Rattus norvegicus: one gene and its partners. The main gene of each other region encodes a partner of the protein of the gene in region 3 in a complex. Links are inferred from orthologs where the notes say so. Each region holds a gene or a part of one and is shown on either strand. Other genes may lie near its edges.

Evidence for each region.
Region 1: the proteins of Prkaa2 (region 3) and Prkab1 are in contact, whole or in part, in a crystal structure (PDB 8BIK), measured with the Homo sapiens proteins. The link is inferred for Rattus norvegicus from reciprocal best matches to the Homo sapiens genes PRKAA2 and PRKAB1. Residues at the interface, in NP_006243.2 of Homo sapiens: Gly9, Val11, Lys12, Ile13, Thr21, Lys29, Lys31, Asn48, Arg49, Arg53, Asp56, Val58, Ile61, Lys62, Ile65, Gln66, Lys69, Val82, Ile83, Ser84, Thr85, Pro86, Thr87, Asp88, Phe89, Phe90, Met134, Met164, Ser165, Asp166; in NP_006244.2 of Homo sapiens: Pro79, Thr80, Val81, Arg83, Thr106, Ser108, Asn111, Val113, Ile115, Gln154, Val155, Asp159, Phe160, Glu161, Val162, Phe163, Ala165, Leu166, Asp169, Ser170, Lys172, Cys173, Pro186, Tyr187, His188, Gln189, Glu190, Pro191, Tyr192, Ala202.
Region 2: the proteins of Prkaa2 (region 3) and Prkab2 are in contact, whole or in part, in a crystal structure (PDB 6B2E), measured with the Homo sapiens proteins. The link is inferred for Rattus norvegicus from reciprocal best matches to the Homo sapiens genes PRKAA2 and PRKAB2. Residues at the interface, in NP_006243.2 of Homo sapiens: Gly9, Arg10, Val11, Lys12, Ile13, Thr21, Asn48, Arg49, Val58, Gln66, Gln81, Val82, Ile83, Ser84, Thr85, Pro86, Thr87, Asp88, Phe89, Met134, Met164, Ser165, Asp166, Gly167, Glu168, Phe169, Leu189, Ala191, Glu194, Pro253; in NP_005390.1 of Homo sapiens: Val60, Ser61, Gln64, Glu67, Asp68, Ser69, Thr73, Gln74, Ala76, Pro78, Thr79, Val80, Ile81, Arg82, Ile106, Ser108, Val113, Ile115, Val155, Ser158, Asp159, Phe160, Glu161, Phe163, Asp164, Lys167, Leu168, Gln191, Met193, Tyr194.

The regions. Positions count from the first base shown.
Region 1 is NC_086030.1:46,247,772-46,251,968, reverse strand, and holds the start of Prkab1 (5'-AMP-activated protein kinase subunit beta-1), read right to left. Parts: upstream 2,875-4,197; 5' UTR 2,750-2,874; coding exon 2,591-2,749; intron 371-2,590; coding exon 207-370; intron 1-206. UniProt on the Homo sapiens protein: Non-catalytic subunit of AMP-activated protein kinase (AMPK), an energy sensor protein kinase that plays a key role in regulating cellular energy metabolism.
Region 2 is NC_086020.1:187,952,402-187,956,047, reverse strand, and holds part of Prkab2 (5'-AMP-activated protein kinase subunit beta-2), read right to left. Parts: intron 1,673-3,646; coding exon 1,539-1,672; intron 911-1,538; coding exon 842-910; intron 1-841. UniProt on the Homo sapiens protein: Non-catalytic subunit of AMP-activated protein kinase (AMPK), an energy sensor protein kinase that plays a key role in regulating cellular energy metabolism.
Region 3 is NC_086023.1:125,060,384-125,064,029, forward strand, and holds part of Prkaa2 (5'-AMP-activated protein kinase catalytic subunit alpha-2), read right to left. Parts: intron 1,611-3,646; coding exon 1,517-1,610; intron 957-1,516; coding exon 812-956; intron 1-811. UniProt on the Homo sapiens protein: Catalytic subunit of AMP-activated protein kinase (AMPK), an energy sensor protein kinase that plays a key role in regulating cellular energy metabolism.

The DNA of each region.
Region 1 (4,197 bases), on a different chromosome or scaffold from region 3:
ATACTGCTCTCTTCTACCAACGGCGACTGCTGGGGTTCGGGATCTGAACTCTCTAACTCATTAAGTATTTCCTCACTCAGCATCTGTCTTACAAAGATACCCACACGCTGGTCACCCACAGACATAGATCATTTAGAAACCAGAACACATCCACCGCTAAGACAAGAGACACAGCTAAGACAAGAGACCATGTTGCAAGCCAGTACCTTCTAGTGAGGGGCAATTTGCTCCAGTTGTTGAAGGATCCAGACAAGTAGACCTCCTTTCCACCCCCTGTCCATCGAAATACGGTGGGCCGAGCCTGGGCGGGGGCTTTCTCATTCACCTCGAGGTCGTGCTGCCACGCCAGGAACTCCTCCTTCTCTGGAGCCTAAGAGGCAGAGGCGTTCACTCAGGGTCAGGCAGACAGCAGTGAGCTCCCCACCCCGGCTGTTAACCTAAGAGACCACTGCAGTCCGATCAGGCCGAGGTGCTCATCCCCATGGCATATGACTTGTGTCTGTCCCCTACCTGTCAAAGGGAGATAATAAAAACTACCGCTTCTGTGGTATCGTGAAGACGGAGATAGTCTGACCCACATGGTGCTTAGCCATTTGCTACTGTTACTGCAGTCAGACTTCACAAAATCTCTAGAGGTGGCTACAAGGCCTCCTCAGAAGACCACCATGAGTCCAAGGTGACCTTAATACACTCCACTTCCCTTGTTAAGCAAGAAGTACGTAAGAATTTACTAGGGGCAACCGCAGAGCTGTTAAAGCTGGCACAATCAGACGGTGAGGGAAGAGCTGGGGTATAGAGAACTAGATAGATAAAACACACTGGTCCCTTCACTATGGCAAGATGTGAGTAGGACAGAGTAACTAACTCCAGACAGAGATAAAGGGACACATCCAATCCTGGGGCGAGACGCAGTTACATACAGACCATTTCTACTCCTCAGTTAGAGGAAAAGCCAAACACTGGGCTTCTCTGGTAGGGGAAAGCCCTGAAGGAAGTCCAGGAAGCTTCTATCCACCGCAGATACTGATCTGCTCTTATCTAAAAGATCCCTGCAGTCCTTGGATCTAAACTACACAGATCAGATAACATGCCAGAATTGCTCTAGGGCAGTGCTGCTTAACCTTCCCAATGTAGTACTGACCTCAACCATAAGATGATCCAGCTTCACAACTGTAACTTAGCTACTGTCAAGGATCACGATGTAAAGATCAGGTACCCAGTGTGTCTGTTATGCCGACCCCCTAGAACTCCAGAAGGGTGGCAACCACTGCTGTGGAGGACAACTAAGTGTAGCTACAAGGTTGAACTGGGGTAATGGGAAGAATCTGACTTGACCCATCAGTCACTACTGATGAAAAGAGAGGATGTCGGGTAAGCCCGTCCATCTTCCCTGACCCTGTAGAGAACAGCAACACCACGCATTTCTTTTTAAAAAGAAAAGTAAGTTTATCCAGCTCACTGGAAAGAGAGCAGAGGGCACCAGGGATATACACACACCTGCCCCAACACAAATACCTTTCACTTCCTCTTAAACAGCCTTGGGCCAAAACGACTTCTAGGGGTGGGGACAGATCAACTCCCAGGAAACATGCTAAAGATCACTGTACGCACCTTTCCCCTAACACACCAAGCTCAGAAAACAAGCTCCTATCACAGACAAGTGTCATAAAAGCAGAAACAGTAACGTGGGTCCTCAGCCCAATCTGGGGGTGGGTGGAGGTGGGGGAGTAAAAACAGAGTGAGTGGCCAGGCAATTAGCCTGTTTTAGTAATGGGGATTGGTAGGCAACAAGCCAGGTAACAGAGGCTCTGCTGGTCAGCGTCAACCTTCCTGAATGCAGTTTATTCTGAGGAATTAGCTTTTCTCTTCTAGAATCAACTGAATGCCCTTGGACTGGGCCCCATAGCCGGAAGCACTGTGGTTTTAAGAGAATGTGGTTCAAGCAGGAACTTTCTGCTTGGCCTGCAAGAATTGTTTGCTCTGGTCTGCTTAAAGTCCAAGGCATTATGTCAGTAAAGCAGGAGAGTAGTGGGGTAGTTAGCTGCTGGCTGCTGTTCAAAGAGACTCTTGGCCACTGACCTCAAGTGGAATTGCTGGATCTAAAATAGAGTTAGCAGAATAGCCTGAAACCATCAAAACCAAGCACCTCTAGAAGTCAGCTAGTCAACTGCACGTTCAGCTTAACATATGTGCTCCTCGCACCTTCAAAACGAACACTAAAACTCCCAACCCAACTTTTGCAAAAAAACAGCCAGCCTGAAGTTGTGGGGGAAAAAAGTGTCGCGAAGCCGCGCAATCAATTACACCTAAGAGAAAAGTAGACACTAGCGTTCAATTACAACTAGCTCGACTCTTAATTAATTAAGAATCTGAAACTCGGTCCCAGAGCTGCTTTCTCCTTAATGATGTTCAACGAAGCCCAGGGTGGCTCTCCCATCGGTAATTAGGGACAGGTTCCCGGGCAGCAAAGTGGACTGTGACAGGGCCAGCTCCCTCCAGGTGTGAGGCTAGGAATGTGGCGGGAACAACAGCAAAGGGGCCCTGCCCTCAACCTGAGTCAAGAGGGCTCGGATGCCCCTCGACTCAGCACCTTCATTTCCTCGGTGTGGAAGATGTCGGCGTCTTCGGGGCTGTCCATCAGGATCTTGGGCCTGTCCCCATCCTTGGTGCCCCCCGAGCTGTCCCTCCGCGGCGTCTTATGGCCAGCCTGCCGCTCCAGCGCGGCGCGCTCGCTGCTCGTATTGCCCATGGCGAAGTGTCTGCGGGGACACAGGGAAGCGGGAAGGGCCGGGCCGGGACCCCCGGGACCGCGGACCACGCCCCTCGGGTCGCGCGCGTTCGCCGAGCCCCGCTTTACCTGCTTGGACCGCAGCGGCTGGAACTCCGACAAGAGCGGGAGCGTAACCTGACACTCCTCGGGCAACTCCCCTCTACCCCTTAGCAACTTCCGCTTCCGGCCGGGCCCCGAGAAGGAAGGGTGGTCACTGCGGACGGAGCGCTGGAGGCTAGCGTGATGTCACTTCCGCTTCCGTTCTTGGCGCGAGCGTCCGAGGACGACCTCCTCCAGCCGCTCCACGCACAGCCGCTGCGGGTCGTTCCGGGAGGCTCCCAGGTCGAGTTTCCTGACGGCAGGCAGGAGGCGCTCCGGAGCTCGACTCTTCCCGCTCCTGACCGAGCAAGTTGCCATTGACAGCAATGCTGACCTCATCCCAAGAGTACCTGGGTTGGGTTCCGGGCGCTTAAATGGTGGCTCAGCACTATTTGCAGTTGAAGTTCTAGGGGATCCCGGCGCCCAAGACAGGGATCATATAAAGGCGGGCAGAGCATGCATACACATAATCTTAAGAAAACAAAAGTAAAAACACATGTTTAGGTCTCTCCTGTAGATACGCTGGCTCTCACCATTGAGTGTATTAGGATAACCTAGTGTTCCTTCGAAAGGACAGCCTCTCCAGACTGGCCAAGTCAGAGTTTCTGTAGACAAAGGTGGAGGATGCAGAGCATCTTGCCGGTGTTTGAGCAAAATGACAGACCTTGATTTCTGGGAAGTCGGTGTTATAAGTGGGCTTCTGTTGTTTGATTAAAGTTGTCCCATTGATATGACATTTTGCAAGGTGCCTTGGAGCCACATTGGTTATATTATGCATACAATGTAGTAGTGCTTAGTGCTTCCGTAGAAGTGTAGACTCTTGTTATAGAATGTTCTCACCTTCACAGCCAGCCTTTTTAAAAACATTGTTTGTGGGTTGTTGTTGTTGTTTTTATTGTTAGTTTTTAAACATTGGACTTCCTAGGCCATATCTTATGTTTCCGGGGTTTTGTTGTTGTTTTGGTTTTGTTTGTTTTTTCGATACATGGTTTCTGTGTATAACAGCCTGGGCTGTCCTGGAACTCACTTTGTAGACCAGGCTATCATCGAATTCACAGACCTCTGCCTGCCCCTGCTTCCCAAGTATTAGGATTAAAGGTGTGCACCACCATGCCCGTCATATATATATTTTTTAATTATCTGCAATGTGACACATTTTTGTTAAGAAAACTAGGGACCCTGATGTCTGACATACAGTCTTCTAGAGGGCCTTTAACAGTATCTAAGAAAAAGGAAACAAATTTTTATGGACAATTTCTATAAAACTTCACACATGAAAGCAATACACAAGCATGTTCTTCTGAAGCACTGCTTCTAATTATTACACT
Region 2 (3,646 bases), on a different chromosome or scaffold from region 3:
CTGACTTCACTGAGTCTTAGTCTCTATAAGACAGGGGTCAAAAATAATAATACTTACCTCTCAAGGTTACCGTAAAGATGAAATTCAGCAAGTTAATATTTTATATATGACCACACTCTTATTAAAGTCAGCTCTATTAGAAGTGAGGCTGAATCTCTTTGCTCTAGCTGCACATTTAAGAAATACGAGCAGCTTATAGGGAAACTACAGGGAGCACCCTGCATGTGCTTATGCCCAATCTCTGGGGATGAGACCACTCAATCTGAAGGCTCACCACTTCTCCAAGGAGTTCAGTGTGTAGACAGTCACAGAACTACACATTTATGTCAACAGCCAAGTCACAAAGACACTAAAGCAATGGAGAAACCAAGGGGTGGGAAATAGGAACCTCCAGTCAGGAATCCCTTCCTACGTAAGAGATGGAAACACCTGGGCAGACACAACTAGGACGCGGCCAGGCAGCTTGACGCCCCATTTTAAAAGGTAAAGTTTATGTCTCATTCAAGCATTTGTTGAAGGAAGCAGATGCTGAAGTTTGTTCTGCAGATGGGATCCAGCCACTATGAACTCAAGCTTAAGTAAAGAGATGAGACAAAGGGTCCAGCCACCCAAGGGAACTTAGAAGCAGAAAGGCCCCATGACTGACAGCTCAGCCCGAACACAGACCAGAGACTAAGGTTTAAACTCAACAGCCTTCGAGTCAGGAAGAGACAGCTCCCCTATACTCTCTCAGTGCCAGGCGCAGCTTTAAAAGCAGCAGCGAGTGAGTTACCACTGATGAGCTTGAGGGACCCTTACCCTTCCACTTGGGAGGCTGTGGAAGACCAGGGCTACCACTTACCTTAATGGACAGCGCATAGAGATGGTTCAGCATAACATGATTGGGCTCAGGAAGTAAGGCTGGGTCACACTAGGAGAAAAGACAACCCCCCAAATGTGACTAACGAAGAAAAACCAAACAGTGTACTCTCTAGACTGTTGAGAACTCTAAATAGGATCACTTTGTCTCCTACAAGTCATGCATTCCCAGACCAGAAAATCAAAAAATCCCTAGTCTAGGGCAGAAATGCTAAGCCCCAACATCTGCTAATTTTCTTTAAGAGAATTTAAAACGAAAACTTTGCTTAGAAATATAGATGGTTTGGGTTAAAGGGAAAAAAATCTTCCTAGGAACTATCAATTATCAACTAAGTGAAACCGTGGTTAAAAATATTTAATATAAAGTTGTGAATTTCTGTATATCCCCAATGAGAGTACCCCTTATTTTGGGTTATAATATAAGTCACAATACAGATCAATTCTAGCAGTTTGGTTCTGATTTAACCAGAAACAGAAACATCCATAAATTCTGCTACTGGTACCTAAAGAAGTTACAGTTCAATCTAGGAAAAGGAAGCCCCCATGCACAGATGCACACATGGTCTTATCACCGTAATTATGACACATCTTTGTCATAATTCTAGCCCAATGTTACTAATTCTGGCCTTGATGGTCCTAGAGATCCCCAGATGCTCTAGCAACCTGCTCAGTATACTCACTGAAATATTAGTGTCCTTGTTAAGAATAACTTGGAGGAGGTGAGGGGGCAGGATGGGTGGGGATTTGAATCTCTCCTCAGATCGAAACACATACATTTCTTGACCATAAGGCCCTGGGGGTGAGCTGGACAGGTCTGAAAAATATTTATGCAAATGTGAAGGAAAGTTGAAGGTTAGTGAGAATGCATGGGGAAGCTTGCATTGCGGCCACTAATCTTAAATGCAGTACAAGTCCTGGAACGCAAGAACCTGTGGCCTACTGGAACTGGCGCTGTCAGGCTGGAAAGGAAATCAACCTCCACATGGACCAGGAAGCTTTCCCACAAGGGAACATGATGTAAGGAAAAGCTGAGCGGTCAGGACCTAGGCTCAAGGAAACCAACCCATTTGTCAGCCATCTGACCTTGGACAGATCCCTTTGATATGGTCAGTGTGTTCATTCACAGATAAATATCTTCCTAACCTTCAATGCTTTAGGGGAAATAAAAGTGACAGTGGTTAAAATGGTGTTGTGGACTCAGTGTGAAAAGATTAGATTCCATATTTTTCCCTACCAAAGCCACAGACAACAATGTTACACACTATAAGTGTACAGTGATTGCAGTGGACAGAACAAATGCAGATGTAATCAAGAAAGTACAGATGTCCAACCATAATGTGACACACTTCATACTCACTGGGATGGCTGCCACTGAAATGGCAAATATTGGCAAAAATGTAGAGAAACTCGAAGCTTCAAACTACAGAACTCCCACTGTGGGCAGATATGTACAATAGTATAGACACTTTGGAAAACAGTATGGTTGTCTTCAAACTGTTAAACTTTGTAACCCAGTCATTCATTACAGTACATTACTGGATGTAACACCTAAGATAAAATGTAAGCCCACACAAAAGCCTGAGCATGAGTGTTCATAATCAATATTTATGATGGCTCCGAAGAGCAAGCAAAACCCAAATGTCTGTCAACAATGAATGGAGAACCACAAAGGGACTGTCATACCATGCACTTCTGCTCAGCCATAAACAGAGGCAAAGTACCGACACTTGTTTCAACAAGGACGAGCCCCGGAGCCTGCTAGAGTGAAAGAAGCCACACAGTGTCTGGTTACATTAGAGGAGGTGCCCGGAACAGGCAGATCAGGCAGCAGACTCTTGGTGACAGGCGCAGGGCCAGGAGGAAGGGATGGAGGCAGTCCATATTTTGAGGTGACAACAGTTCTAAAACTCGATATACTAAAAAAAGCATGGATAAATTGTACAATATAAAAAGATGTGTTTCGTGGTATCTGGATTATACTTTAAAAATGAAAAGGTTAAATCTATAAAATTAAATGAACTATGTTTTCACTGTTTTAACATTTTTACATTATAGCTCCAGAGAAAACATTCTAGTAATGGTTCACTTTAATAACTCAGATTTGCTTCAACATATAAGGTAGAACAATGCTGTGTTATTAAACAAAACCTCAAAAATAGACAGAACAGAGAACTTTTCCAGGAATTTTCAGTTGTTCTGGTCACTTTATCCACAAAGCACCATTGGGAGCTAACACAGGGCAATGTTCTCTCATCCTTTCTACTGAAAGGACAAGATGAATGGTGAAAAGTCACACACACGGCCACACTCACTACCTGCACGCCCCTAATTAACGTCTCCGCCTCACACCACTGGCTTAGGAAACCGAGTGACCTAAAGTGTGTGTCCTCCAGCTACACCTTCATGACTCATTGCCATACCCACTGGTTACTTGCAGATCATAAGATAATCACAGATCTAGTGGCCTCAGAAACCTTTTAAGACCACTGCCCCTCCCGCCAGTGAGGATGCTCAGGTTGACTTTCTGAGGTTATAACTAAATCTAAGTAGGTAGTTACTGTGCTGTGGACTATTTGTCCCCTGTCCTAGAGATTCTGCTATGGGGTCTGCCTCAGTTATTATGACTGAGGCTCACTGAGGGTCCAAGCCCGTGAGTTTACTGCTGGGAGCTGGAGTACAATGGCATGACTAGTAGCAGAGGCAGGCTTTGCAAACAAGGGCCTTGTCTCATTTTCTTTGCTCAGCGGATAAAGTGTGCAGCTCTCCAGGCAGGCACACCTCCCACCAT
Region 3 (3,646 bases):
GGGTCTCACTGCTCTCCAGGGGAGTCTCCTGTTGCAACTTCCTAGGAAAGGTTTATAATTATTATAATTAGAGAGCTTCAATTCAACATAGTAAAACCAATCTTCTGAACCAAAACCCCAGCTGAATTACTTGCTGAAATGGTTTAAACAGAAATAGTAAAGCTAGTTTAAAGACAGGCACAAAACAGACAGACTGCAGCAGCCTTTCCAAGTATGCTTAGGCCAGAAAGTGTATGCTGATTTTAAAATGTACATTTTACCTTGCCTCTTACCAAGGACTAGTGTCTGATTTATGCATAAGTTATCAGATACTGCCCTAAAACTTACAGGTCTTTCCGAGATCAGTTCAGAAGCAGCACAAAGCTTTTAAAGCTGAGAACAAACGTTCACACACTTGTCTATTTACATTTATCAGGAAATACATCCAGTGTGTCAACAAGTTTTTCAAGGGAGTTTGGGACTCTTTCTCTTCCCATCATCACCCCTGTCCCAAAAAAACAAACAAACAAAACAAAAACCAAAAAAAAAAAAAAAACAAAAAAAACAAAAAACCCAACAGGTACCATTGCCTTAAGAGGAAAGGCATGTTGAATGGATCTGTCTTGATGTGGCTTTCTAATGTGTTTTCTAGAAACTTCAGCACTATTTAAGTGAATTTAAATAAACAAAATAGGTCAGTGTGAACTGCAATCAGTCCCTTTTTGTGGTAGAGGATTTGTGAGGGTGAATGGAAAGTTCTTAGTTCTGTAAGGCAGACACTGGTCCATTTTAGAGGTGCGACACAGCTCTGAGCAGCCCTGGAGTGGCATACCGAAGTCAGCTATCTTAGCATTCATCTGGGCGTCCAGCAACACGTTCTCTGGCTTCAGGTCCCTGTGGACAACCATGTGCCTGTGACAGTAGTCCACGGCAGACAGAATCTGCTGGAAGAGCCGGCGAGCTTCCACCTCTTCAACCTAGCGAGCAGAGGAGAAGCTGCATCAAGACTATCCGGGACATGAGTTATTATGCACTTCAGTTTGTAACCAGTCTGAAGACAACTGATCAGGCTAATTAAAATCGACGAATTAGAAATCCAACATGTCAGACAAAGCAAAGCAGCTAAAACCTTACCAAAGCTCAAAGAGTATTCTAAGGGATTTTTTTTGCTTGGCTGCATGACAATGATGTTTAATTTTCAACCAATATTAAATATGCACAATGTTTTGGGGAGTCAGTAAAACCAACTAAAACAGAACTTATATGAAAATTCTAAGAAAAGAAAATAACTGAAGCTTCAAGGTAACTTTATACAGAACAGATTGGGAAAAGCACAAGAATCACTTGGTGATTAAGTGCGATATAGTTTCACTACTCAAAAGGCAGAGTTCTCAAGAAAGGACATACGTCCTGCATGTGCAGTTGATGTTACAGAAACAATTAAAGCACTTAAAATATCTTTGTGATTAGCTATTAGCAATTCTTTCCACTGCCTTACGTTGGGGCTGAGAGATACACTAGAAAATATGTCACTCACCCTCCCGTGTTTACAGATGTAGTCGAACAATTCACCTCCAGACACATATTCCATTACCATAAAAAAGTCTGTTGGAGTGCTGATCACTTGGTAGCTTGTTCGGAAATAAAAAAAAAGAAAGAAAGAAAGAAAGAAAGAAAGAGAGAGAGCGAGAGAGAGAGAGAGAGAGAGCGCGAGCAGGTTAATACAAAATGGCGCTCCCACAAATAATCAACCTCATCTGCTACTGTTGTTACAACGTCGTACTCTAATGTTTGTATCATATTGCAGGACAGCAGCAGATTTTACAGTGTTATCAAACTAATTCCAGTGCCAAAGCATGGAAGGAGATTACAAAAGAAGTATCCCACTTCCTGAGACTTACAGACGATTCTCCTTACCTTTAAAATCTTCACAAACTAAGTTAAGCATGTTCCCATTTCAACAAACTTGTTTAGTCAATAAAGATAGGTATTATATGCTTAGAGTATTCTTAGACATATAAAAATATATCGCATATATATATATATTCAACAAAATTCAGTAGGTAGACAAATCATTCTTTCTTAAAGGTGGCTGGAGGGAGGAGCTACATACTGAATCAATCCAAGAAACACGAGGATGAAAAACTACACCACATAGACTTGCTTTGGCTCTGACTCAACCAACTTTAAAAACATTAACAAATCCAGTGCGTGGCACAGCTGCGTATTCCTGTATTCAGAAGTCTGCGGTAGAAGAAATCAATGACTTAGAAGTTACCCTGGGCTACACAGTAAAGGTTTGTCTCAAACATACACACACCGTGTAACAACAGGAAGTTGTCACGTACTACGGAAAACTGAACTCTGACTAGATTACTAATAAGACTCATTGTGTTTTTATTTTTAGATGTGATACTGACACTCCGCTTATGTCATTTAAAATGATACATTAGAAATACTTTGAATCTGCCTCAGATGTTCTAGTAAGAAAATGTGGAGGGAAGGAGATAAAGCAACACACTGCTGACCCTGAAGCTGAACTCCAGATACATGGGCTCATCACTTCAGTTTAGTACATGTTTAATAGTTTTACAATAAAAGTGTGTGTGTGTGTGTGTGTGTGTGTGTGTGTGTGTGTGCGCGCGTGAGCACGTGCACACACAAACACATATACATGTGTGCAGACACCTAAAGCTGGTCTTTGTCTTAGTCAGGGTTTCTATTCCTGAACAAACATCATGACCAAGAAGCAAGTTGGGGAGGAAAGGATTTTCTCAGCTTATTTCCACTAAAGGAAGTCAGGACTGGAACTCAAGCAGGGCAGGAAGCAAGAGTTGATGCAGAGGCCATGGAGGGATGTTTCTTAATGGCTTGCTCTCCTGGCTTGCTCAGCTTGCTCTCTTATAAAAACCCAAGCCCATCAGCCCAAGGACAGCACCACCCACAATGGGCTGGGTCCTCCCACCTTGACCAGTAATTAAGGAAATGCCTTACAGCTGGGTCTCATGGAGGCATTTCCACAACTGAGGCTCCTTTTCTGTGATAACTCCAGCTTGTGTCAAGTTGACACACAAACTAGCCAGTACAGTCTTATTAAACAAATAGTACGAAATCAGCTTAATTTTACAAAATAAGGTTTTTCTCTGAAAATTATTACTTTCTCATACAATCTTACAAAATCAGATTTTGAAAATGAGTTAAAAACAATACTGATGTTTTAAATGAAGATTGTTTCTAACATTTACACAAATGTATACTGTTCTACTTTAAAAAAACAACATTTATATCTGTATTTTTAAGACTTATTTATTATGTTTAAATATACAGTATTTATACATACAGTGTATGCCTGCTGGCATCTCATTACAGATGGTTGTGAGCCACCATGTGGTTGCTGGGACTTGAACTCAGAACCTCTGGAAGATCAGTCAGTGCTCTTAACCTCTGAGCCATCTCTCCAGCCCCCATCATTATTTTCTTTACAAAGGATTCTCTATAGTCTTGTTGATTATGAGTACTGTTAGTTTCATAATGAGCTATTATTTAAGGCTGATAAATACAGCAATAAAGAGGTTGCTGGCTTCAAGTTACTCAGGAGAATACCCAAGGAGCTGACACCAGTCTCCAGGCAATCCACCTTGATGGAGACTGTGTTAGAGTAGGAGCC